Bombyx mori: one gene and its partner. The protein of the gene in region 2 interacts with the protein of the main gene of each other region in a pairwise test. Links are inferred from orthologs where the notes say so. Each region holds a gene or a part of one and is shown on either strand. Other genes may lie near its edges.

The links.
Region 1: the proteins of Per (region 2) and cry1 interact in a two-hybrid assay, tested with the Drosophila melanogaster proteins (5 studies listed by BioGRID). The link is inferred for Bombyx mori from reciprocal best matches to the Drosophila melanogaster genes per and cry.

Annotation. Positions count from the first base shown.
Region 1 is NC_085123.1:13,776,125-13,779,624, forward strand, and holds part of cry1 (cryptochrome 1), read left to right. Parts: intron 1-1,985; 5' UTR 1,986-2,020; coding exon 2,021-2,150; intron 2,151-2,916; coding exon 2,917-3,063; intron 3,064-3,500. UniProt on the Drosophila melanogaster protein: Blue light-dependent regulator that is the input of the circadian feedback loop. Has no photolyase activity for cyclobutane pyrimidine dimers or 6-4 photoproducts.
Region 2 is NC_085107.1:12,565,271-12,569,499, reverse strand, and holds the start of Per (period), read left to right. Parts: upstream 1-1,429; 5' UTR 1,430-1,619; intron 1,620-4,229. UniProt on the Drosophila melanogaster protein: Essential for biological clock functions. Determines the period length of circadian and ultradian rhythms; an increase in PER dosage leads to shortened circadian rhythms and a decrease leads to lengthened circadian rhythms.

The sequences.
Region 1 (3,500 bases), on a different chromosome or scaffold from region 2:
TCACAGAGCGAATGCGTTATCCATCGGGAAAACATTTTTTTTACACCTAATTGTTCATGTAAGATTATTTGTATTTGACTCATGCCAATGTCTAAAGTTGCCTGAATTTCGCGGTATGTCACATGTCGATCTTCCTCAATCAGCTTACGCACAGCATCAACGTTTTCTTGGGTGACTGCAGTTTTTGGACGACCTTGACGGGGATCATCACTGAGCTTGACACGTCCACGTTGAAACTCAGCAAACCAGCGATAAATTGTGGTTTTGGATGGGGCTTCATCACCAAATGCAGAAATCATCCGGTCAACACACTGTTTTTGTGTTAAACCACTTCGAAAGTCATAATAAATCATCGCTCTTGAATTTTCTCGAGTCAATTCCATTTTCTCAACGACTAAACAAGTTTGACAAAACCTCGTGACAAGACCGAGAATCTTTTTTTTAAATAAATAAATGGTATTCGATTTTTAAAACCAAGGAGTTTTCAATTAAAAAGATTTTAATATGACAGGAACAGTGGAAATATTCCATTCCCGATACTTTTAGTGCAGCCTAGTAATCCGACTTATCAGTTAATTGAAAATGTTTAATATAACATTTTTCACAAGATCGTGACTGTTAGTTATAATATTGTTTTGTAAGTGAGCCAAGTGTTTATAAAACATTTCTTATCTAACATCAACAAGGTATGTAATGCGGTAATTTTATAGAATCACGTGTGGCTCGATACGTTTAATGACAGACCGCAACTATTGGTTTTGTTTCTTCACAATTTGCACGTTCGTTTTAAAAGGCTTCTTCGAGTAAACTATATAGGCCGGTTATCATATTTTCTCGATCTTTAATTAAGCGCGGCTTTGTCCTCGTAAATCTAGGCGTCTTTAAGATAAAATAAGTACATTATAGTGTTAAGCAAATTACCATGGCGAATTCTATGATTTGATTTGATGATTTTTAGCGTCTCTATAGAGTATTAGCCAAGCCCGGTCAGATTTGCCGATTTTTATTTGACTTCGATCCGATCGCTATAAAAAATAACAGGATCTCCTGGCCTGCTAGCCAATCTCAAGATGTGATGAAAATTCCATCGAAATCAGCCCAACTTTATCGATTTAAAAAAGTGTTGTTTTTTTCGTGACAAAAAGTACCAAAAAGTCATGCCGATTTACTCAGTACTCAGTAACTGCTTCGTTATTGCGTAAATAAACAGATCGATATTATAGATTTACAACACCGTTATTATAATTCCTGTAAGTGTAAGCTATTGGTATGTACATAATTATAGCTACGTCACAAACGAAACGACCTCAATACGAACGGCTTCTTAATAAAACGATCGAATTTCAATTGGAAATTTTCTGTCTTGTTACTCGCAGTCGGATAAGTTTTAAAAAATATTATTTGTCCTCCGAAATATTCGATGTATATACTTAACGAAATTGATTTTGTTTTTGATCGAATTTGTATTATGACTGTGCTGATACATAAAAACAGCAGTCCACGTTAAGAATGAACTAGAATGATTTCAATTCATGTAAAAATTTTGCATTTTTTTTTCCTATCTATTCTAGTAACCTCAAGGGATTATTCTAGATTCGCCGAATTACTAGGTGAGCTCACGGGGCTCAAACCTGATGACGTTGCTAACACGAACCCTAGCAAGAGTCGTGCTTCGCAGAATCTACCACCGGATCGGAAACGCGAACCACTGAGAAGATCCGGCGAGGAACTCAGTGGGCTGTGTCTGGGTTAATTTATTCGCCGAGCCCTCCGACGCAAGCGACGGGTTCGATGAAAACGATGACCGGGTTTTTTGCATAAGCACGCAATCACACATTGATAAGTGCTCAATAATCACTCAGCGATATATTTTCATTGTTAACATCACTAGCGGCAAATACGCATAAATCACTTGTTAATTATAAGACCTGAGAGGAGAATCTCGGAGAATTTGTAAATTTGTATGGGTGATATCTTCTTTGCAGATTTCTAAACGAATAATTGTAAGGGGATACTAAAGATGCTTGGCGGTAGCGTTCTGTGGTTCCGTCACGGGCTGCGTCTCCACGACAATCCGTCTCTTCATTCGGCGTTGGAAGAAACGAGCGGCCCTTTCTTTCCCATTTTCATTTTTGACGGGGAAACTGCTGGTGAGTTTCTATTTTTTTATTGCTTAGACGGGTCGACGAGCTCATCTGATGTTAAATTGTTACTGGAGCCGATAGACATCTACAACGTAAATGCGCCACCCACCTTAAGATATAAGGTTCTAAGGTATAGTTACAACGGCTGCCCCACCCTTCAAACCGAAACGCATTGTACCTTTCACGACAGAAAATAGGCGGGGTGGTGGTACCTACCTGTGTGGACTTACACGAGGTCCTACCACCAGTCGGCGCTTTGTATTTTACTAGTCTTGTACTCTTAATTGATAACGTATAAAATATCATATCGGGCTTAATTATATGGAAACACCACTACCCGCCCGGTTTTACATGCATTCTAATATCCGGATGAATGGAATATATACTGGGTGTTATGAGACCGCTTCCGAAAACGAAGATAGACGATAGTCCTAATGACACCTTTGATGGATGGGACGGAAAAAAATCGGTCCTGATTAAAAAAAAACATTTTTTAAAAATGTTTTAATAGCATTATTTACCCTCCATCATTTTAGTATAGCTAAATGAAACTATAGTTTCATAAAATATACATTACTTTACTCAAAGAAAAGCCAGCAATGAAACACAAAATTAAAACCAGCTGATGCTCGGATCAACGAACGCCCGGGCGCGGCGTTTCTTTTACACGCACACAGGTGCGGCACGGCGGGGGCGCGGCGTTTCGTTTTAGGAAGCGGTCTTCTAACAGCCAGTATTTGAGAAATTACTGACTATATTTTACATTCAATAGGAACGAAAGTGGTCGGGTACAACCGAATGCGGTACTTGCTAGAAGCGTTAGATGATTTGGACAAGCAATTCAAGAAGTACGGCGGAAGATTACTCCTTGTTAAAGGGAAACCCAGTGCTGTGTTCCGCAGACTCTGGGAAGAATTTGGTAAGTGGCATACCGAAAACTCAGTCACATATTTAGGCAAGCTGAGCGCCGTGAGCTTGTCTACTTGGCAAAGCTGGTATGACCCATCGAGACTACCAACATAGGTAGAAGAAATCAGTAATATTTGGTGTTCCTTTTTTCTTTTCCTACCTATTCGCTGGTAGCTTAAGAGGCTATTTATTTATTTATTTATTTATTTGGGAAACAAACAGTACAATACAAAACATACAATATTTAAAAAAAATTTAGCTAAAACAATAACCAAATATGTTTCCACAATCAAAATGCTATTCCAGCTATGCCCAGACGTGTAACTGAGCTTACGGGCTCAACCTGAGAGAACTTGCTAACACTAACCCTAGCAAGAGCAGTGCTTCGCAGAATCTACCACCGTATCGGAATCGCGACCCATTGAGATCCGGCGAGAAACTCAGTGG
Region 2 (4,229 bases):
AGTTTTGTAGAGTATTGCCTTATTTCGAAGGACAATTTACTTCGCTTGCAAGTCATCGGATAGAGCGAAACAATTATAATTTACGTAATGTAACTAACTCGGTCCCAACACGTGACCAGTTGGTATGACGTTCATTAATAGTCACGAATGTTCTTCCAGTCTTCATTAATACTGAATTTTTGATTGAATCATAAGAACGTGGTGTTGGTGTCAACGGAATAAACGTAAATTAAATCAATAAAAAAATATGGATCAATATAATTTTAAATAAAAATATTATAGTTATGTACCAATTTAATGTCTACTATTGAAACGCCCAAAAAGCTAAAACTATGATGTGCCTGGAATTCAGCAACTCTTTTCTTTTTAACGTTTGTTCATTCGTTTCACGGAAATAAAATTTCACATGAGACGTTTTTCTAAGCCACGCGACAGAGTCTAACTATATCGCACCCTCTCTCTCAGCTGCCACGTGCGTGCGAGCAAATAAATCGTAGAAAGAGAATTCCCGTCCTACTTACCCGGCTCACGTGTTTTTGAGCGTGAATAGTAGATCTGCGACCAATTCATGCTCCAAACAATCGTTTCCGAATCGATTTTTGCAAATGTTTTTAATTTGAAGTATAGAATTGTATATTTTTTTTAGTAATTAGTTTATTAGGCCAAATGTACGGTTTGTAGAAAACTAAAAAGGTTAGTACTAAAATCCATGTATGAATATTTCAGTTGAATACTCTTAATGATTCAAAAATAAGTTTAACAAGTTTTTCTTAACATTTTGTGATTAACCTGAGATTTCTATCTTTCTTTACATATGTATTTAATGTTTAAAAAATACTAATAGACAAAACAACCCTATTGTTGTCCTACGATTATGCTATCGACGATGAAAAGTGCTATTTTTTCTTCTTATAACATATAATATTGATCATCCGTAACAGATTTCAAAATATGAAGTAATTACTGGTCGTGTGGTATGGTGGTATTAAAAGCAAAGGTTGCGATTTGAAGAATATAGTAGTCGTAGAAATTCATTGAGATTTTGACCACATGCCTCCAGGTCAGCGAATGAATTCTTTCTAATGTGTACTCTATTAGCCTGAACAAGTTTTGTTCATCTATGCTACTTTCAAATTGAAATACTTAGCAACAAAATTTGTTGAAATGTATGATAATCGGATTACTTCAACTTTTGTATCCTGAATCCTGTATCTGTATTCTGTAAATGTAGTATCCTTTTGAAGATATCATTGGACCGCCGTGTAAAATACATTTTCCTTACATGTACATAGGTATAATAAAATTGTTTTGGAAACTTATTGCTGTTGCAGAATTAATCGATTTATTTCGATTCTCGAGTTCCAACAATCTTTGTATATCGATACTTACCTTGCAACAGTCGACTCTAGTACGCTAATTGTATTGTGACATTCGTGTTTAGAGCGTTTAAACCTCAAGACGGAAAAAGCGCGGGAAGTGTTGAATTAAGCGGGCGTCTTTTTTTTGGCTAAACTTTTGAAAATTAAATTAATTTAATATTACAGGATCAGTTAAGTTGTAAAGTGTATATATATTAGTAGTATTGATTATTTATAGTTTTAGTTTGTTTTCTTCGCCTGGTAAGTCATCTTATTGTATTATATGTAAATAGTATTTTTTTCTTGGCCTCCATGTTGGAGCCCGAAGACCCTGGAGGGACATCCCTCCAGGTGTCTCATGTAGTTACAATAGATGCTTCGGGAATGGAAACGGAAGGTTCCATTATAGATACAGACTGTTCGGAAAACATTAAATCCGTTAAAAGAAAGAGAATATCAACTAGAAACCAAAAAAAGAGAAGGAATCACAAACATACAGATCTACCAGATTGCCAACTTTCCCCTAATGATATAAAGGATAATGTTATACCTAAAGTACTTGAGTCAGATGATAAAATCACTGAAATCCATCATAATGAGGTTGCTAACTCTAAAAACATTACGAGTAACCCTCGCACTGCTAGGCTGCTTTACCAGGCGTCAGACCCTGCGCCTTATGATGTACATATTCAAAAAATTTTACAACCTAATCAAACTGGATCTATACATCCAGTACAATTTGGATTCTTTCTAAAAAAAAATTCAATAAAAAGCATTGTAGAGGGAAGCATAAAAAAAATTGGAAGGAATAGGTTGTCATTTCAATTTAAAACATTTCAGGAGGCTAACTCATTTCTAAATCACAAATCTCTTGATGATAATAAATATAAAGCTTTTATTCCGGCCTTCACTATCACCCGCATGGGAATAGTGAGAGGTGTTCCATGTGACTGGGACGAGAAAGATGTTATAGAAAATATAGAGCTTCCGCAGAACTGTGGAAGCATTCTGAAAGTTAGGAGACTAAACAGAAAGGTTTATGACGGCGAGACACCCAAGTTTGTTCCAACTGAGACCGTAGTTTTGACCTTTGATGGGAAGGTGTTACCTCCCAGGGTCTTTATGTGTTTTAACTCCCTACCTGTAGAGCTTTATATTTACCCCACGCTGCAATGCTTTAATTGCTGCCGTTTTGGTCACACCAAAATGCAATGCAGAGGCACTCCAAGGTGTTACAAATGTGGTGACAATCATTCAGGTATAAGTTGCGAGACGGAAAGAGATGATGCTGTGTGTATTTTATGTTCTGGTTCCCATTTCGCAACAGACAAAAAATGCCCGGAGTATGCTAGGCAGAAAGCTATAAAAGAAACAATGGCTAGAAACTCTATATCCTATTCAGAAGCAAGTAAAGTCTATCCACCAGTTTCAAAATCTTATGCTGACATTGTTGCTTCTGCTTCATCAGCCCCTTCGGGTCCAACTATGACTTATTCAAGCCCCTATAATTTAACAAGCCCTTTTAAGAGTCCGACTCAATCATATAAGAAAACAGTATTCTTGAAACCCAAAGCTCGTCCCAGAAATTCTAGTAAGGGATATGATCAAAAAGCGCATGCAGAGCTTATCCAAGATTACAGCAACATTCCTTCCTTTTCTACAGGTTGTCTCAAAAATTACAATGATTTGTCAGAAATAATAACAAAGGATCTCATCATTTCTATAATTCAGTACCTTTCACAATCGAACATAATTAAAATACCGTCCAACGATGCCGTTTCTTCAAAAACTTTTTTAACTAATGGACAGTCAGGACCATCCACGAAACCAGTCTCTGGTGATTCAATGGAATTGCCGGAGTATTAATAGTAAAAAAAGTGACTTAATTTTTTTATTGAATAGTTACAAACCATTTGCAGTCTCTCTTCAAGAGACTTGGCTTCGTCCTGGATTCAATTTTAGAATTCCAGGACATGTCTGTCTTAGAGAAGACAGAACAGATGGGTATGGTGGAGTGGCACTAATTCTTAGGGGAGGTGTGCCCTTTGTCCACTTACCCATCCCTAATCACAGTGATAAATTTTCTATTATTGCTGCTAGTGTAAATAATATCTGTTTTGTAAATATGTATATACCTCACCCTTCCAATGAAGTCTTTGACGATATTCGTAGCATCCTATCTTCCCTCCCGCGCCCTATTTTGGTTATGGGAGATTTCAATGCACAACATTCTATGTGGGGAAGTTCTAAGTCTGATCATTATGGGGCTAGAATCTTAGACATCTTAGATGATAATAATTTATGTCTTTTAAACTCTGGTTGTCCTACTAGAAGAACACAGCCCCATGAGGGTATTAGTGCACCAGATCTTACCCTTTGTAGTCCCTCACTTGCTCCTACATTAAACTGGTGGCCTCTATCGTCTTCATATGGAAGCGATCACTTTCCACTAATGGTATCATTTCCTCAAAAAATTTGTGAAAAGACATCAAAGGCCCCTCCCCGGCTAAAATATAGACTTAAGGATGCCAACTGGTCATTATTTGGAGATAAAGTTCAACAAAATTTATCAACCATACCTCCACTAAATGACAGCAGTAATCATCTTTGTGCTGAAGCTTTTACACGGGCCCTACTACAAGCTGCTGAGGAAGTTTTTCCTATAAAAAACAATAGTGGAAATGGGTATATTCCATCACCTCCTTGGTGGGACAGTGAGTGTTCTGCTGCGATAGCTGAGAGAAAGATAGCTGAAGAAAATTACAGAGAAAATTCTACAACACAAAATTTTAATATTCTTAGTAATCTTATAACTAAAACTCGTAAATTATTAAAACAAAAAAGATTCAATAGCTGGAAATCTTTTTGTGC